3 linked regions of the Drosophila melanogaster genome follow. Changing the gene in region 2 together with the main gene of any one other region gives a genetic interaction. Each region holds a gene or a part of one and is shown on either strand. Other genes may lie near its edges.

Evidence for each region. Genes that interact genetically often act in the same process or in processes that back each other up.
Region 1: of Tak1 (region 2) and egr, changing one suppresses a phenotype caused by changing the other (phenotypic suppression), as found in Drosophila melanogaster (7 studies listed by BioGRID).
Region 3: of Tak1 (region 2) and slpr, changing one enhances a phenotype caused by changing the other (phenotypic enhancement), as found in Drosophila melanogaster (2 studies listed by BioGRID).

What each region holds. Positions count from the first base shown.
Region 1 is NT_033778.4:10,076,509-10,084,400, reverse strand, and holds egr (eiger), read right to left. Parts: upstream 6,036-7,892; 5' UTR 5,390-6,035; coding exon 5,219-5,389; intron 3,789-5,218; exon of another isoform or gene 3,707-3,788; intron 3,614-3,706; exon of another isoform or gene 3,477-3,613; intron 3,214-3,476; exon of another isoform or gene 3,076-3,213; intron 2,895-3,075; coding exon 2,769-2,894; intron 2,149-2,768; exon of another isoform or gene 2,079-2,148; intron 1,760-2,078; coding exon 1,434-1,759; intron 1,372-1,433; coding exon 1,267-1,371; intron 1,140-1,266; coding exon 1,075-1,139; intron 998-1,074; coding exon 908-997; intron 828-907; coding exon 463-827; 3' UTR 191-462; downstream 1-190.
Region 2 is NC_004354.4:20,521,905-20,526,528, reverse strand, and holds the start of Tak1 (TGF-beta activated kinase 1), read left to right. Parts: upstream 1-1,600; 5' UTR 1,601-2,561; coding exon 2,562-2,630; intron 2,631-3,170; coding exon 3,171-3,470; intron 3,471-3,708; coding exon 3,709-4,024; intron 4,025-4,083; coding exon 4,084-4,265; intron 4,266-4,487; coding exon 4,488-4,624. UniProt on the Drosophila melanogaster protein: Component of a protein kinase signal transduction cascade. Mediator of TGF-beta signal transduction. Responsible for activation of the JNK MAPK pathway (basket, bsk and hemipterous, hep) in response to LPS.
Region 3 is NC_004354.4:8,171,151-8,178,984, reverse strand, and holds the start of slpr (slipper), read left to right. Parts: upstream 1-1,799; 5' UTR 1,800-2,432; intron 2,433-2,530; 5' UTR 2,531-2,691; coding exon 2,692-2,970; intron 2,971-3,030; coding exon 3,031-3,683; intron 3,684-3,749; coding exon 3,750-3,916; intron 3,917-3,986; coding exon 3,987-4,162; intron 4,163-4,417; coding exon 4,418-4,438; intron 4,439-4,770; coding exon 4,771-4,947; intron 4,948-5,009; coding exon 5,010-5,124; intron 5,125-5,523; coding exon 5,524-7,403; 3' UTR 7,404-7,834. UniProt on the Drosophila melanogaster protein: Activates the JUN N-terminal pathway during dorsal closure.

The DNA of each region.
Region 1 (7,892 bases), on a different chromosome or scaffold from region 2:
TAAAGACCATAGTAAGCTGGAATTGCACAAATAAAGCTGAGGGATATCTTTGAATGGCTCTTCATTTGAGATTTGAATTGAAAGCATTTGAAGCATTTTGAATCGAATTATACTAAGAACGAATATTCATTATTTAGAAGATTATAATATTTTCAATTGCAACTGGTAGCAATTGATTCAATTGATGTTTCTTAAACACGCTTACACAAGCGGGTAATAGCTACATATATTTTTATTCACTTTTTAGAGTCGAACGAGTATATACAAAATAAATATGATTTTCCTCCGTCTTCTGACTAATGCAGTATGCACGATTCCGATTGAGATTAGGTTTGGAGTGACTAAGACTAGGTACTACGAACTAATGGATTCACGCTGGCGATGAATCGCATTCACGAGCAGTCGCGGGGACAAAAGCTTAAACTGGTATTCCATCTTCTGACCGGGGATAATCTCTCCAATTTACACCTTGAAGATGCCAAAGTAGCTTCGGTTGTTTCCCTCCCGCAGAACTGCATTGCGATCGTTGTGAATGTCCTTCAGATGGATCCTCTCGTTTCGTTCCAGGTGGATCAGACCACTCGTGTGGCAGGTGTGCACCTTATGTGGCATGTTGGTGGGCACCGTGTTCAAGCACTGCAGGAATGGAGTGTCTCCTTGAAAGACGATAAATCCGTTCTGGTCGTGCGAGTTGTTGTAGCATATCTGGGCGTATACGTAATATAGGCCTGTATTGGTCACCGTCAAGACGCCATCGCGCGTTTGAAAGTGTCCCTGATAAGAGTTTCTCTCGTTATCATTTCCTATGTACATATCTCCATGGTAGCCTGAGAAATTCAAGAAGTGACTTCATTAGGTTGCCTGTAGTACTTGTATGTACACGCTTGACGCGGAAGCATCTCCTTACCCATACTTCCTTGGTGACGCCGCCTGCTGCTCAAGTGGAAATGGGCTGCTGGCCTCGAGTCCTCGGATCTGGCTGAAAGAAGAGATTCACCTGCAAATTAACAGAGGTGCGAATAGAGATTTGGTATTCGATTTTTGCCAATTGTTTCGCTTTTCTACACTACACACCTTTGCGGACTAGGAGGTGGCGATGGCGGGAATGCATTCTGCGACGGTGGTGAAGTGGTGCAGGGCTTCAAGTAAAAAGAAAATGTATACATATGTGTTTCAGTTACGCAGTTAACTATCTATCTTTAACCCATAGCATATAACTTCATTAATGGTTTTTCTTGCCTGTTTTCAACGGAACGTTCTACTTACCTCTCTTTGGAAGTTGCCTCATTGGATGACTTTTCCTGAAGCTCTGTGTGATTTCCTTGAATATTCTGCTCCTCATTGCGTACATCGGCAATCGAGCGAGATTTTCTGTGAAGAGGAAAAGCAGAGGCTTAATACGATAAATCCCTGAAAATTTCATCCGTGCTCACCTCTCCTGCTTCTTTTTGTGGGCATTGTAGCTGGTAAAGTCATCGAACACATTGTCATCATTTGAGGCTGAGGATGCACTGTCCGTCTCGCCCTCGCCCTCAGCAGTGGTCTCAGATGTGGGCGTGGTGCCGGTATGTGCATTGTTGAGTTTATTTAACATATCGGTGTAGTCCTCGTAGTCTGCGCCAACATCATCCACAGAGCTATAGCTAACGTCGTCGTCCTCGTCGTCCGCAATGGAATCCAGACCATCGCCATCGTCGTCGTCCTCCTCATCCGTGAGGCCATCCACCTTTTTTGGATAGTCGATGAGGGCATTCTCGTACTGCAACGAAGGGATGGGCATCAGCATTTTGGGTCAGAAGACTTGGCCAAGTACGTGACTGCAGCTGGCACAGTCCTGGCACATATCTCACATCCATTTGGGACGTTCATTTTTAGACACACGCCCGCAGCACAGGCTGTTTCGTCATCATCCTAATTGATGGCGCCTCGCTCAAAAACATGATACTCGTATACATATACTTGTGTACATCATACATATATTTAAAAGCGAAGGAAACTCTCAAGAGAATTGGCACCACAGATGCCCAGCCATCAAAATATAAATAAATCTTAAAATCTTAAAACCATCTCTGGCCATTAGGCCATTTGATGAGATTCGATCAATCGTCACATACAGCCAAAAGCGATCGCTCGCCTTGAACGACTATATCTACTGATAGAGCCTAGTATTTTTGTTGAATTATTGGGGCTTTTACCTTTTGTCACTTGGGGATTTGTATCTCATAAATTACGTGAACTGGCTGGCGCCTCATATTTGAAATGAGTGTTTCCTTGCGGAAAGAGACATTATAATTCAAATAATCTATCACAATTTTCTATGTGCCTTTGGCCAAGCAGCTAACAAAAAAAAATGAAACAAATAACAGATGAAACAGCGTCGAAATTATATTTTAGCACATAATTCTATAAATATTTTTGTATGTCCCACACAATAACCACATATTACGTCTGGTCATTTTTTTGAGGCATTCTTTTTCAAAAACAGGCGCATGGCTTACCGACTGTGAGATACCCTAGCCAGAGTTTGCCATCATAAAATGCAAATTACCCTTTAGGCAAAAAGAAAACTAAACATAATAGATACTCAATAACAAAAGTTCGATATACCCTCATTAAAAACTCAAGTACCAGCCTCAAGGAATAACAATCATTTCCGACTTTGTAAACAATTCGAGGTATCTGTATTTGCCCGGGGCAAATGTTACAGCCCCTGCCCCATCGCCGAGTACAAATATTGATGCTCGAAAGTGATTTACGCAATTGCTCACCTCCTTTTGGAACTCGTCGAACTCGTCCAGATAGTTTATGCCCAAACGCTGCTGGAGATTATCGACGACTCGCTTCAGGCTCTTCAGCTCCTTGTCCAGATGCGATACACGCGTTGTCTGCCAGATCTGCAAGATAAGATAATTCAATTGTTACACACTCATTCAGGCTCGTTTCTAATCATCCGCTCATTAGCAATTGGGCAATCAATTTAACGTAGCCCCAATTAAACATCTATAGCTGGTGCTAAGGCCCGGCACATCATATAACACCCAGTGCCGCGAACTTTTGACACCCGAAAAATATATAAAAACTAACTGAACAAACTGATAGAGGCGAGACGAGAAAGATTTCGTGGGGAAATACGGCGGGGTACGTACGATCGCCACTCAGCCACATAATCTGCTTAATGGATCATTAACATTCGGGCCGAGCAGAGGCCTTATATACGGACACTTCTCAAGTCTCGACTGGCAGCCGAAATCGAAAAGAATGGCTCAACTTAAGCCACTGTACGCGCAGACGGGGAAATATACACATGTACATACATGTAGGTACACACAACAACTTGTACTGAATTCTTGTATAAATTATGGACTTTACGCAGACCCAAGAAACTTGTTTAAGTTTCCAGTGAACCACTTTCCATTAGAGCTTATCGGCGATCAGTAGATCGATCGCAGCGCCTGCAGTTTGTCACTTTCTTAGAGGGCCCCAAATGATGAGGGTTACTTTGTACGAATGTCAGTGAAATTGAATTAAACAACGAAAAATGCTTCATGGCTTAACGGAGATTTATGAGGAAAACCGAACTTGAGGCCCACGTCAGTGGCTGAAGCCAATCATTTACAAGTCAATTGTCAATTGTACGATTTCCGTTCACTTAAGCCAAAGTTGAGTGGGTCATGGAGGAGTCCTGGGTGAGGGGGGGGGAAATGGGGGTGGGAGAGAAGGACCAGATTCAAGTCCACAAACTTAATCTTCTGCAATTCAAATCCGGATTTCAGCGAGCACACTCATTCGCAAAGTTATCAGGGAAAAACATGACACAACAACCCAGTCGAAGATTTATCGAATGCATAACAGAACGGACTCAGTGGCATTTAAATCGGTTGAACAAAAACAAAAGGGAAGAACAGACATGTACCGATAAACATTTCTCTAGCATCTGCATCCGCTTTATTTGGATTAGCTGGATCATTAGGAACCGATTTGGCCTAAAGACGTGTCGGTGATGACATCGCTTGATCAGCCAAGAAACCGCCGTTTTTCCCGCTCTAAATATAGTTTCATGCCAAATTATAGTTAACCTATCTGCGACGGTCACGGATCATAAAGTCTGTTTTCATTTCAATTTATGCATCCGCGGAATTTCGTCTTTAATTTGGCATCAACAAAGACTTTGTGACAAACAGCTTTATAAGCCGAAGCGTGCCAAAGGTTAAATATTCATTTTTAGATTGCGATTTCGGGGGTGTCTATACACATACGTTGTTAAAGTCCAATTTGCATTTATATTTATTCGCATTTTATTTTGGCAAGCTACTGAAATAAACATTTCCGAAAAATAGGAGTCTGTTCAGAGTCTAGAAGGCGGTTCATGGCTGAATGGAATCTCTCTGTTTTTATGCTTTCATTACTTTATTGGTGCAATCTGTTTTCCAGATAAAACTAACTGTCGTTGTGATGGTTTTTGGAGAGATAACTAAGCAAAATTATAAATTAAACTACCAAAATAAAACACTAAAAACACAATAAAACACAAATTCTACAAAAGTCTAGTTTAAGAATCAGTGTAATACCTTTACACTCGTTTCGAAACAGTCATTAAAACGGCCATATAATCATGATTGGCCCACTTTGGCGCCCAAAATATCATTAAACAACATAGCCCATAACAACTCATTCCTATCTATATTCTGGGGAAACTCCCACCAATAACTGATATACCCACACCTTTGGAATTCCGACGAATCATTAATCGCACACAACAAACAAAAAAAAAGGCATTCAAGTATGGAATAGCTATTTCAATTTGGAGGTGACTACTTTAATCTTTTTCAAATTATATTCATTAACTAAATCTATTCAGCACATTTGACGATTTTAGTGTGCTAAAAAACATTAAAAACATAAAATGCGACTGAAGAGATTGTACGACGCTCAAACACACATAAAATATGTTATACTATTTATTTATTTGTAATTATTTCAATACTAAGTATGATTTGTGCCACCTTAATTAAACATCTTTAAGCATGGTTTGTTATCTTAAGTAGGCAGATAGAGACGCAATGTTATCAATTAATAGCATCTTAATGAAAATTTTGTAGTACGATTTCATTCAGTTCAGAGTCTAATTGGTGTGTTTAGAATCGCGATAGTCGATCCAAATGGGCAATAATACCTGATTGGGCTGCTATTGGGTAAATGATTGTGAAGGAAAACTTACCGTTAGTGCGAGAATGGCAACGACCAGCCCCAGACCGATGAACCCCAAAACCAGGGGGATCAGCTGGCGGGTGCGTCGCTGGGCGGTCGCCGTGCTGGTCGCTTTGGCCGGAAAACCATCATCGTTGGCACTCGTTGGCGTTATAAACGGCTTGAGGGTCTCGGCAGTCATAATTGATGAACACTGGGGATCTTAGAGCAACCGGGGCCTCCAGATGCTGATGCTGATTCTGTTGATAATGACGACGATGATGATGATGACGATCTTGCCCACCCACTCAAGGGCACTCGACAGCTGTTTCCAATCGAGCTTTGTCGCACTTTATATGAACACACTCTATGTATTTAAGATACTACACGAGCACACAGAACAACCTCACAGACAGCATGAGATGATAAGCTGCGACATCTATATAGATAAACCCCTCGGGCTGCTGATGGTGCCCTTTTCAGATTGTATTACCACACTTGTTTTGTCTACTGCTTGTTTTTCTCTTCCGCGATCGGCAATTAGCAAAAGAAAAGCGCGAAAACAAGTTTCTCAAGATATTTTCTAGTTTTATCAGTTCTTGTTTGCGATAAAGGCACAGCGAAAACCAAAAAAAAAAAAAAAAACACAACACACAGTGGACGAGTTGCACTTATGTATTTTTAGTAATTTGCCCGATGGCGAAATTCAATCTTGGTAAGTAGTTAACTGAAACGGATAGCTTTTTTTCTTCGCTATCATGCACGCACGCGCTTGCTTGGGATCTCTGATTTACCGGTTTCTTTTCTCACTTTAAACGTCCGTTCGCGTCGACGATTCGAAAGAGAATGAATTTGAACTGAGAACGGGAGCGTGAACTGAGGGAAAACGAACCGAGCGGCACTTGATTTCTCACGTTCGAGCAGGCAGGCGAGCAAGAGGGACAACGGATTGGCACCGTCTCCCTCGCTCACGTGGCGAGGATGCGCGGCATACTTAAGGGCGCCTGCGCTGTTTACTTTGTGTAATTAATTTTTGGCAAGGTTCTCCCGGGGTGGTGTTTTGGTGATACAGTGGGCTCTGGCTAACAGGAATTAAATTAATTATTATATTTCTACAATTTTACATGTACATATGTATATGTAGATACGATTTTTATTTATTATAACAAATTATTTGTATGAAACTCATAATCATGGTGTGCATAAGAAATATTTACAAAAATATGATTTATAATATGATATAACACTAAATAATAGTTCATATAGTCTAAAGTTGTTAACAATTTAACAATGTTATCATAATTTCAATATCAAATTGAAATGCTCAAATAACGAACTTTAATAACATTTATCAAAAGAGAAGAAAATAGTGTATCTAATTTAGAATATTGGATGCCATATTGAAGACCATCTCATCGTTGTTTTTAGCCAAGACAGACTGTACTTGGTTCCGATTTCCCTTGCACATATGGCGATCATAAGTAGCAAAGCGTGTTTGACTTTTTGCGCAGTGTTTTCCACTGCTTTTATTTCTTTTTATGTGTTATGTGCACTTAAAACCTCCCCCTGTGATTTATAGGGGTTGCTCGATTGCTTTTTGAAATCGGCACCACTGTAAGCGGCTTGGCTTCGCATCCCCGGGTTTTCGCTTCATTTTCTTTGTGTGGCTGCTTTGTTCGAGCTCCCTTCATGACACTGACATGGAACAGATCCCCGATCTTCGATTCCCGAGCCGCAGCTAATTGAGTTCCGAAAAGTGGCGGATCGTTGACAAACCCATAGATAAGCCAAATGAACTTTTAGCATTTCATTAAAATCGTATTTATTATTACTTAGACCGACGATCGGGGTCTGTCAGCGCCGTGCCTAAGTACGGGTTCTAATTACGGGTAGCGGGGTAGCCATAAACCTAATGCTGATCCGATCCGATCAGCCACCGTCGCGACAACTAGTCTGCCGAACCGGCTGCCAAACAGACCCGTATCGTAAATCCGCCCAAGAGTGTCGTCATTCGGCAGAGATGCAAATGTCGGCGTTGGTCAGCTAATTAGTTTCTAATCGTCTGCGACAAACAGGTAACCACAGGTAGAACTGCTCAGGCCGTAAGAGCGGGGATCGGATGGCACACGCTTCCGGTGCACTTCTTAACCCATTAGTCGTTATCTGTTTTCGCATTGTGCAAGACCACATTTTTATTTATAATTTTCAATGTTCGGAAATGGTAAATCAATGATTTAAAATTATATACATATACATATGTATGTACATTTGTATATACAATAGTTTTTGAAAAGCTTCTATTACTTTTTTGTGTTTTGTATCTTACTTTTTTGTATTACATCATTTGTTTTATATAAATTCAGTTGTGAAAAGCTTAATTAATTATGGAATAAATCGGACGAATTGTTTCAATCTAAGCTCTGAGACCTTTTTGGTTTTATGCAGTGTTAATGAATCTGATTCAATGATCTGTGCAAACATATATGTACATATATCAGCATTGAGCTGGTATGTCGATGTACATGATATTGTAAGATCTAGATATATCACGTGCTTGCACAGAGGGTTAACCATCAGCCTCACTTAATGGAGCACGGCCAAGAAGCAAGACGATCTCGAGGCGATTTTTCAAAGTCAATGCCGGGCAATTGACTTAGCTACAGTACAGACACCCAGTCATGCCATTACACATATTCTCCCCCCAT
Region 2 (4,624 bases):
TACTCGGTGTACATGAGGCAAAAAGATGTTGTGCTAAGTCCATGTCGTTCTTTGTTGCGTGGCCTGGGCAAGGCGGCCACGTTGCCTCTGGGAGTTTTCGCTGGAGATGTTCAAATAGACGATATGGAGACTGTTCAAAACTTCATCGTGGTGGCGGATGAAAAAATGGAAGGTGATGGAAGTGCATTGGATACGATTTTCTATCGAAGTTTCAATTTACACTGGATGTAAATGGGTTTACGTTTTGTGTCGTTATCAGCTTGGCCTGAGGTAGCTAACATTAACCAGATAAGTATTCACGATTATGTTTGCACTGAAAGTAATGTGAATGCTCCTCCCCAATTTGCACCTATGATACGGAAGCTGATAGACGAATATCATCCAACCTCCAATTGTGCCGGATGAGAAAATTAAGACGTTTCGTCATCAACCAAGTCGACATCCGCCAGTTAAAGCCAAAGCCGTTAAAAAACAAGTCGATGACTGGTTAAAAGAAGAAATCGATTGACCATCTACTTCAAGCTTCGCCAGTAGAACTGTCGTAGTGAAGAAAAAAGTACGGCACTTACAGAATCTGTATAGGACTATCGCCAATTAAACAGCATGGTTCTCAAGGATTGCTTCCCTGTGTCGATTTCCTGCAATTCTACTGCGGCATTTATAAGATTTATAAACCACATATTCCCGAGACATTCTACAACTCTATATGGATGATATTATAATATATGGACAGACGAATGACGAATGTATTAAGAAACTAAAGTTGGTGCTATTAGAATCAGCGAAGTTCGGCTTACGTATAAAGTGAAAGAAATGTCATTTCATACGCACGATATTGGAAGAACGACCTTACAATGACCTTAAACTGAAGGGAGGAGTTTTATTCATGTTTGTCAAAGGAAATGATTTGCTTATTGTACCTAAAATAATCGAACGTAAGATTATAAACGAAGCTCATGGATTCGGACATTATGCAAACCAGAACAAACCGTACATTCTATACAACAGCAGTTTTGGATTCCACACCTAGAGAGCAAGGTCGAAAAGCTTATAGACGCGTGTATTCCGTGTATTATTACGAACAAAAAGCTGGGCAAACAGGATGGACTTTTATGATGCATTGAGAAAGGTGACAAGCCGTTACACAATATAAGTACATCTTCGCACTTGTTGGTGGATTTTTGAAATTCGTGTGGATTTTTACTACAAAATGTCTTAACAACAACTGGAGTTGCCAGAGGAAATGGGCGGGTAGAGAGAATTAAATAGATCTATCTTATCGTTTTAAAAATACAACAACGATTGAAAACTCTCGAAATGGGATGTACTGGCGCCATCTATCGGAGGTAATAGGTACCCCGAGACGCATGCAAAGCGCCAGAGGGCGACACAGCTCCTCTGACGAGATGGCATCACTATTTTTATTGGGAGTATTGGTATCTCGGGTGTAAAAATTAAATTGATGCCTAATTTTTGAAAATATGTCACACAAATAATAAGTATCTTTTAAGTGGATAGATCCATTGATGTCGCTGGAATTAAAAATACAAATACCAATGTTATCGTTATCGGCGAGTCCACACTGTGCTAGGCAAAAATATCGACGTACCTTGCGCCCGATATCTGGCACTAATGTATCGATGACGGTCTTGTTAAATTATTAAAAAAAAAACAAGTTTGTACTTGAAAAGTACGGCGTATATCTACAGCGAAGAACGCAAGAACCCGCCAAGGCAGCGTCCGATGCAGACGCCATCTGTTCAAGCATTGAGCCCGGAATCCGGAGGAATCCCGGCCAGGATGTGATGTGCGCACTGGGCCCTCTCCGCTGGTCGATATAAACTCGTGCCCCCCTCTTCTAGCCACCTTCTTGCTGTCAACCGCCTGCTCATTCTACCCCACAGTTCCAGTCCCAGTCCTGCACAGCAATCATCTTCGCCTGGAGAAGTCTACCGGTAGCACGAGTGGTGGAACCAGGCAGACTACAAAGGACACGGAGACCGCGGTGTCTGGGAAATCGGCTGAGCACGGAAACCGATCCACTAGGGTTGGCATCACGCACCACTTTGTCCAGGAACCTGCAGCTGAGGAATCTAGATAACATCTGAAGTCTCCTGGGAACTGCGAAACACACCATATCTTAGCAAAATGACGTGGTAAAAGTTGTCAGTCGCAATCTATACAAAGGCAAGAAACTTTATGATGAATCCAGGTCTAGATCTTGCAAAGATTCCGAAAACTCTGTCCCCAAGAGGGAACCAAAGGCACAGTTAGCCAGCAATGAAATCGGGAACCCACGGAATCGTAGCCACTAAAAAGGCGAAATCCCGGTAATTCTACCAAAATAGCGCACCACCTGGACACCATAGAAGAGAGCCTTAAGGCAAGGAATCGGTGGCATACTTGGACAGTTGAAGAGAACTTTAAATCTGGTAATCAGCGGCGCCAAATGCAACTGCAACTGGTAAACTAGTACTCATTTGTAAGCCAAAACACTGACAAACAAAAGCTGCATCTGAAAAGCAAGTAGAGAACACCAGGATACTTAGCGTTCCACGGAGATGGCCACAGCATCGCTGGACGCACTGCAGGCAGCCTATGTGGACTTCAGTGAGATAACACTAAGAGAGGTGTGCATACCAAACGGAATATACCCAAAGTCTAGAGCTCCTATTGGTGTATACGTATACGCAATCTTGAAACGATAAACAACCAGTAATCATATACCATTTAGGGCAGAGCAAGTACTCATTCTTAGTTAGTCAGACGATTATCGCACTTTCAAAAAGCATGTTTTAATCTATAAACGGTTATTTTTTCGTTTTAAAAGTGTATGCTTTGTAACAGCTCTGTTAAAAAACCCAAGAAAGGTTTTATATTTTAAACTTACGCATTCCTAAATGCTTACATTCGTTTTAGGATTTCGTTTCAAACTTATTAAAACAAACTACAGACTGTATACAAATATCAGCATATTTATTAACGATACGATCTTATCAGTTTGATAAGAAACGAATTTCAAATTTACCCATCACAATGCGTTCGTGTGTTCTACTTGAAGTCAATTCAAACTGTGTTAGACCAAGGTGTATAACGTAATTAGTATTGAGGAGTTTTGCACAAGGAGGGTACAACTGTTGAATCAGATCTAATAATCTTTTTCCCCGCAGAAAGTCGGCCATGGGTCCTACGGAGTGGTCTGCAAGGCCGTTTGGCGCGACAAGCTGGTTGCCGTCAAGGAGTTCTTCGCCAGCGCCGAGCAGAAGGACATCGAGAAGGAGGTGAAGCAGTTGTCGCGCGTGAAGCACCCGAACATCATCGCTCTGCACGGGATATCCTCGTACCAGCAGGCCACCTACCTGATAATGGAGTTCGCCGAAGGTGGATCGCTGCACAACTTCCTTCACGGCAAGGTGAAGCCGGCATATTCTCTGGCCCACGCCATGAGCTGGGCGCGCCAATGTGCAGAGGTAGGTCGTCGTCGAGGGGCGGGGCGGTTATAACGTAGGGCTCAACCCCGTAGCGCTTTCCATCCAATTCGTTGAAATTATCTGGTGAAATAATGACTCAAATGGATTGTGGTAATTCACATTGCTTGCATGATTACTTAAACAATTTCAATAGCTATTCCGCATAACCAGAATTAAAATAATAGTAATTTGTTTAAAGTTTAGCCCTAATTACATTTCCATTTGTTTTCCTCTCTAGGGTCTGGCATATTTGCATGCCATGACGCCAAAACCACTAATACATCGCGACGTGAAGCCGCTGAACCTGCTCTTGACCAACAAGGGACGCAATCTGAAGATATGCGACTTCGGCACGGTGGCGGACAAGTCGACCATGATGACCAACAATCGCGGCAGTGCCGCTTGGATGGCGCCCGAGGTCTTCGAAGGCTCCAAGTATACGGAGAAGTGTGACATTTTTAGCTGGGCCATTGTTCTATGGGAGGTTCTGTCCAGGAAGCAGCCCTTTAAAGGCATCGACAATGCCTACACCATCCAGTGGAAGATCTACAAGGGTGCGTCCTCCAATTCACTCTTTTTCCATCGAGCTTATCGAGATCTGTGCTCCTCGCAGGTGAACGCCCGCCGCTGCTGACCACTTGCCCCAAGCGCATCGAGGACCTGATGACCGCCTGCTGGAAAACGGTGCCCGAGGATCGCCCGTCGATGCAGTACATAGTGGGCGTTATGCACGAGATCGTCAAGGACTATACGGGGGCGGACAAGGCCCTGGAATACACGTTTGTTAATCAACAGGTGAGACAGCTTTATTGGGTCAATACACAATTGTAAAAGAGTCAATTGGTGTTTTTATCTATTGAGGAAAGCGTTCTTTTACTCTGCCCGTCTTTAAAACCTAATTTAAATTCGATATTGTTTGGCACTAAATGCAATCATTACCCTATACGGATAACATCACTTTTGCGTTATTTTCCTTTGCCACACATTGCTAACTCTTGATCCTTGAACTGCTCGCAGATTGTCACCAAAGAGAGCGACGGCACGGTGGCCGCTCAACCGGATAGCCTCAGTTCGCAGGAGGGGGAACTGAGCCCCTCGTCCACACAGTTAACACCGACAACGGCGGCCAACGCCAATGTGAACGCGATAGCAAT
Region 3 (7,834 bases), about 12 Mb from region 2:
AAATTTACGATTTTCTTAGCGAAGAGTTAGCTCTCTTTTCGGTTTCTATTGTGTGTGATTAGTTGCGTTTGCCGTATTTTTAGCCCGTTCCGGAGGATTTATTACGTGCAATCCGCCCGTGCGCTGCGCACGCCCGCGTCTGCCGCCGATTTGGAATTGCCACGACGTTGCGTTGAAATGTTGCGCGTAACTGAGTGGCACAGCCTGGTGCTGCCGCCGTTGCTGCTGCCACTTCTGCTGCTGCCGCTGCCGCTGCCGCTGCTGCTGCTGGTGATGCTGGCACACAGCCTCGCCGACCACTGCCGAGACTGCTCTCCTCTCCGGGCGAAGCGAGTGGCGTTTGCCCAGCGGTACAGGTCCTGGTCCTGGGCCGTAGTGTCCTGCGCCGCTCTGCTCCTGGCTCCGGATCCGGCAAAGGCTGTCACTACGACTACGGGAGTTGCGGATGTAGCGCCACATCAGCCAGCAGCCCGGTTTCGTTTCGGTTTCCATCGGCTCGGCACGAGTCGCTCTGTTGCCGAAGCACAGTGGGCCCAATCGGACCATAATTAGATGTTCAAAATTGGTTAATAATATTACAATATTTGTGCAACATAAATGTGAAGAAAATTATCTACGCTATGTTTCTAGCACTCGCTGCTTGTACATTTTTTAGCAATAAAACCTTGAAATATCATAAACATGTGTATAAAGATGTTGAGATGCATAAAATACACTAAATTACAACCAATTAGTTAATTATTGTTTTAAATTATCGGCTTAACTCTTTAAAATGTCATATTTTTATGGTTTTTGAGCGATTGATTAGCATTCCATTCCACTGTGCGATGCCGACGCTGGACCAAAAGGATGAACGGCGCAGCGTCGCAGCCGAAAGGACACGAGCGCCGCCGAACTTTTCAAGGGAGCGTAGCAGAGGGAGGGGACTTACTAAACACATGGCATGGACTAGGCCACCCAGCATCCACAAGCCACTAACACCCACCACCGACCCAATACACACCACCCACCACCCACACAAGGGCGCGTGTTGGGCGCCCGACGAGAGAGTCAGTGGCGTGGGTGGGGGGTTGGTGGTGTTGGTAGTGAGGATACACAGTATACACAGCGTTCCGTTCCGCGATGCAACAGCAACATCATCAGGCCATATCCGCATCGGCAAAACAGGCCAAACAGCCAAAGCGGCCAAAGCAGCAGCAGCAGCAGCAGCAGCTGTAAGCCCCCCTTTTCCATGGATTTCCCCGACTTCTCTGCAAAAATCATGCGCATCACGAAATAGCCGAATATCAAAACGGAAAACATATGACAGCGACATTCCATTTGAAACGTGATTTTAAATAATTATTTCACATTATGTGATTTAATCGAAGTGCATGACATTCGATATATTCAATCTTTAATAGTTTTAAATGAATGCAAGTGTTACAATAGCCCCATTGATGGTAGCATAATTTTCAGTTTGCATTGATAACGACTAAGTTCAATTATTTATTCGATTAAATATTAAGTTGTTAAGTTGTTAAAAACTGAAGAAGTTCAATTAATGCAATCGTTCTGGTTTACGGTACTTTAAATTCAGTTAATTTAAATTTACACATCAACAATGCTTTTGAGTTTTGCATGTATGTTAATAGGATTTAAATACTAAAATTTTTACATTTCAAGCACATTTCAAATTTGAATATTAACGGTCAATAAAATAATCGACATGATAAATACCAATATTGAAAATACTGAATAAGGTATTTTGAAATACCAAATATTTTGCGTTGCCCAACACCGTTTTGATGGCATTTTTTAGTACATTTGCGAATGGAACTAGTATAAATGCAGCAACTGGTTTATGTGAGCCACAACAAAATGATCGACAAAACCTTGTTCTACCACAAATATTAACAATTACCAATATAAAGGTATTTAAACAACTACCTTGATCACAATTTTAGTTAAAATTATGCCAACGAACTGGAACCAAAATCCCAGGTGAACCGCAAATGTAACCAGTTCACTCGGCTGGGTCCAAAGACCAGTTCAATTAAACTAGTTCACATTTGAACAGTGCAACTCTAGTTTTTTTTTTTTAATACATATGTGTTTAAAAAACATATGCAGAAACGGGCTAATAAAACGGATATAACCGATTGCACAGGATCAAGGATAGATCAAAATAACCGACGACGTTAACGGCGACTGCGACTGCGAGAGAGCGACCATGGTGTGCAGCAGCGCGTGTGCGTGTGTGTGTGTTTTGTACCGTGTTGTCTGATTGTGTGCCGTTGTTGTTGTGATTGTTGTTCTCGCTGTTGCTATTGTTTTTGCTCTTGTGCGTGTGGTCAACGGACGGACAGACGGACGGACAGTGGGACACAAGGAGAGTGGAGAATCCGAATCCGGTGGGCAGGAGAGCAGGATTAGCCGCAACATCCTTACCCGTAAGCTGACCCCACCCCACCCCCTTTGGCAACAAATATTACTAAGCTGCTGCTTCTTCTTCGCCCCTTTTGCGGTTTTATCTCTCTTTCACACACAGCGAAACAAAAGCAAGTTAAAAAGCGAAGGAAGCAAAGAGAAAACAACAAAAAAGGAAAAGAAGCAGAAAACAAAAACAAAGAAGAGATTCATGGTTTCCATGTCGCCAACTGTGCGCCTCTGATGCCCTCGCAGGTCTCCCGAGGATTGGACACCACCAACATGCTGCCGATCAGCGAGGAGCAGCAGCTGCAACAGCAGCAGCAGCAGCAGCAGTTAGAGCAACTGCATCATCCGCAGATACCAGAGATTCCCATACCAGATCTAGAGCAAGTCGAGACCCAGGTGGGCGATGGCAGCCTGTGGACCGCGCTGTATGACTACGATGCCCAGGGCGAGGATGAGCTGACACTGCGACGCGGCGAAATCGTTGTGGTCCTGTCCACGGACAGCGAGGTGTCTGGCGATGTGGGCTGGTGGACCGGCAAGATTGGAGATAAGGTGATTGATTACCTTTCTAACAATGAACCATTGAACTAAACCCCAATCTTTCTCCTGCAGGTCGGTGTCTTTCCCAAGGACTTTGTCACCGATGAGGACCCACTGCAACTGAATGTCTCGTCCGCCATTGGCGACATCCAGCCGCATGAGATCGAATACAATGAGCTGGACATCAAGGAAGTTATCGGCTCCGGTGGCTTCTGCAAGGTCCATCGTGGCTACTACGATGGCGAGGAGGTGGCTATTAAGATTGCCCATCAAACGGGCGAGGATGATATGCAGAGGATGCGGGACAATGTCCTGCAGGAGGCCAAACTGTTTTGGGCCCTCAAGCACGAAAATATAGCAGCCCTGCGAGGAGTATGTCTGAATACCAAACTCTGTCTGGTGATGGAGTATGCCAGGGGAGGAAGTCTCAATCGCATACTGGCTGGCAAGATACCACCCGATGTACTAGTCAACTGGGCCATTCAGATAGCCAGAGGCATGAACTATCTGCACAATGAGGCGCCCATGTCGATCATACATCGCGACCTCAAGTCCTCCAATGTGCTGATCTACGAGGCCATCGAGGGCAATCATCTGCAGCAGAAGACGCTCAAGATCACGGATTTCGGTTTGGCCAGGGAGATGTACAACACGCAGAGGATGAGTGCGGCGGGCACGTACGCTTGGATGCCACCGGAGGTCATCAGCGTTAGCACCTATTCCAAGTGAGCTCCATTTCTCTCACACTCTGTCGTCTGTCTTCCTAACTAACAAAACTCCTTACCCGCCAGATTCTCCGATGTTTGGAGCTACGGTGTCTTGCTGTGGGAACTGATAACGGGCGAGACGCCCTACAAGGGCTTCGATCCGTTGTCCGTGGCCTATGGCGTGGCTGTTAACACGCTGACATTGCCCATACCAAAAACCTGCCCCGAGACGTGGGGAGCCCTGATGAAGAGTAAGTGAACGCAATAGACAATGATCCTATACATATTATTGTAATATTTCATTATGTCCAAATCCCGCAGGCTGCTGGCAAACGGATCCGCACAAGCGACCGGGCTTCAAGGAGATTCTCAAACAGCTGGAGAGCATCGCATGCTCCAAATTCACCCTAACGCCCCAGGAGTCGTTTCACTACATGCAGGAATGCTGGCGAAAGGAGATCGCTGGAGTGCTACACGATTTGCGCGAAAAAGAAAAGGTACCAACTGTCTGGAAAACGCCAGGCAAACTGAAAATATAAACTCCCCCTACCTGTTTGAGTTGCTCTAGATCGTTTCTAGACCGTTCCTTGTTGGCCTTACGCCGCGCCCTTCAGTTCTTCCATAGTCGTTCCCCTCTTTCTCCCACTTGGTCGTTGTTGATGAAATTCTAATAATTTGGTATATACTCTCTCTCCAAAACAAAACAATACAAAATTCCCTTGTTTTACAATAAAACATCCAACGACGTTAAGCGTTTCCAAACCATCGAAGAGGTAAGCGCGTCCAACAGGTTTCTCTTGCCCGCCGTTTGCGTTTCAATTGCGTTGCGTTGCGTTTCGTTCTGTTGTTTCGTTTCGTTTCGTTACATTACTTTACTCTATTCTACATTACTTTACTCTATTCTATTTTACCCAAAGTTATCCTGTTTTTTTTTTATTATTGGCTGGATAACTCCCACGATAGAGCCGCACACAAGCCAACAGCTGCATGGTTTCTAGTTCCTAGTTAATGCTATTTTCTAGCACATGTCCCCGTGTACAGTGATCATGCTTAGCCCACACTAACCCGCCACGTTCCACCATGTTATCCCTTTTAATCCCGACAGGAACTGCGCAACAAGGAAGAGCAGCTGCTCAGGGTGCAAAACGAGCAGCGCGAAAAGGCGAATCTCCTGAAGATCCGGGAGCAGAATCTGCGCGAGCGTGAAAGAGTGTTGATCGAACGGGAGCTTGTCATGTTGCAGCCGGTGCCATCGAAACGCAAACACAAAAAGGGCAAAAAGGTATGTGAGTCAAATTAGCCAAAAAAAAATCTTGCATAACATATCTTATATCTATCTTTTAGAACAAACCACTGCAGATATCGCTGCCCACGGGCTTCCGGCACACGATTACGGCTGTACGCGACAAGGCGGAACAGCCGGGATCACCTTCCTTCTCCGGATTGCGCATCGTGGCACGTGAGTACTTTGTCTATCCCAGAGATCTGATTAATTTGAGGGTATTATATATAGTACAGTCCTATGATGAATTATACTTTTCAATCATGGTTTTATGGTATATTTGTTAGACTTAACTCTATGTACGTATGTCTCTGATGAGAATTCAGTGCATTATGCAGGTCTTTGAGATAAGATTAGGCATTAAGTAGACCCAAAATTAGAACAGGAGACTAGACGTCATGGCCATGGGAATGTAAGATACCACCTCGTATCGTTGGACAAATTGAACTAGATTATTTGCATATTTTTGTTATCATTATTTTTGAATTAATTTTTGTATATTTTATTGATTTGCCTTTGGTTTCTTCGTTATGTTCTTATGTTCCGTATTATTTTGATGACATTGGGGTGAATCAGTGACCGATGGGCACAAGGGCAAGACGTGGGGCCCGTCGACGATGCACCAGCGGGAGCGATCCCTATTGCCTTCGCAACTGAGCGGCGGTCAGCCGGAATGGCCCGCCCAGACCTCAACTCACTCCTCATTCAGCAAGAGTGCTCCGAATCTGGACAAGAAGCAGCAGCAGCAGAACCAGCAACAGGTGGCCTCGCTGACACCGCCGCCGGGTTTGGGAATTTTGGGTGGAAGTGGAGGCGCTGGTGGGACGCCGGCCACACCATTGTTGTACCCAGGTATACCCATTATACTAACGCGCCCCAACAACAACAACATTGGCAATTGTAAAGCCATCACCACCACCATCACAACTACCACCACCACAACCACCAACAACAACAACAACAACAACAACAGCATCTCCGCCAACAACAACAATCAGCTAAATAATATTAGTACTATTAATAGCAATAACAATAACAATCAAACTAACCTGACCTCCCAACCGAACACGATAATTGTCCTCCAAAACGGCCGGAACAACTCCAACAGCAGCACCACCAGTCAATCCCCAGCCAAGATCTACCATCGCGCCAGGAGCCAGGAGTACGGACTTGATCATCCGCTTGCTTATCAGCCACCACCACTCTATTTGGTAACGGATGACAGCTCGGAAACGGACACCGTTGCCAGTCCGACCGGTTGCTTTCACTTCCTGAAGTCCGGCAATTCATCGGCGGCCAGTGGTGCCGTGCATCTGCATCGCTTTGGCGGCAGTCTGGGCAACAGTCCAGCTGTGGGCAGAAAGAAGCATTCGCTGGACAGCAGCAGTCATCATCCGCCTGCGAACGGTAGCAATAGCTTTGCACTGCCCAACCAGTTAACTCTGCCATCGGAGGATAACAATACGTATGACCATGCCTTCTATCGGGATGTGATCAAAAAGATGTCCATGGCCAGCAGCGAAAGGGTAAACTCCAAATCCAGTGGCGACCTGACCATGTACAACTCCAGCACACCGCTGACTGCCAGGGATTGCGATGATGCGGAGGAGGCCTTCGAGGGTGGACGCTTTCAGCGTAACTTTTCCGGCTCGCAGTTTCCACGGCACTGCTTCTTCACCAGGCAGGAGGAGGAAGGGGAAGCAGAGGATGAGGACGCGGTGGCGGCGGAGGTGGACACAGCAGATGCGGATGCCGACGATGAGTGTCAAGTGCCCGCCAGTCAGATGCGCCAGAACTCCACCACGTCGCGCAAGAGTTCAGTGACCTTCCAGAGCGTCAGTTTCGAAGAGCCCGATTTTGTGGCCACGCCGCGAACGACTGCCAGATCGGATCTATATACATCCAGTGCCTCAATTAGCTTCGCCACCTACCGCTCCGCCTCGCCATCGCTGTCCTCATCGTCCACCACTGCGTCCGCCTCACCGTCCATTGCTTCTACGGAAGCCGTGAACGGCTATCACATGCAGGAGAACTCCATACTGAATACGCGTCGGATGCAAGATGTTCAGCCGCATCCCGATGTCATTAAGCTGCGGGCCCAGGAACAGCGCCAGCAGACCAAGAACCAAAAGAAGCAACGGCCCAAGCACATAACCAAATCCAAGTCTGTTGAGGCGCCAGTCGAGGGACAGCACCATGAACATGATGACCACAATGATCCCCAGCACCAGCATCACTCGGCTGGATCGAGCAAAATCCGTGCCCTTTTCAATCTCTTTACGCGCTCGCGAAAGAAGTACAGCAAGCTGGCGGAGCACAACATGGTCGGTGGACCCGAGTTCTGTGCCATTGATCCCTATCAAACCGATTTGGCGATGGGGGGCAGCAGTCGCTCTTTGAAGCGCAAAGGCAAAAAGCCGCAGACGCAATCCTGCGAGCAACTGGAGCGATGCTAAAGTCCCAGTTGTGCGCCGTGCTGCAGTGTTGCTGTTGGAGTTGGCCGCCAGATGAGAACCGCCTAATTAGCTCATTGTTTTATATTAAAACTGTAGACTAAGTCAGACGCAAAGGAAGAGCGAAGAGATGAAACAGCAGGCGAGGATTAGCCATAGCTAATGTGTGAAATTAGTAGGGCCCAGAGATACAGATACCTATCCGAATTCTTTCCGTCTAACGAAATCATAGAACTAAACAAAAAACCCCTCTGTCCGCGGTTGGCATTTCATAATAACCGAATTGTTCCTAACGAATGCAATATGTTGTGCGAAATTCACAAATCAAGTTAATCCCTAATTAGTCCAGTGATTTGTTTTGTTTTTTTTTTTGTGCCAGAGGAGTGGCTAGAAAATTGCAATGTGTAGCACAGAAGTGAGGACGAACTTTTGAG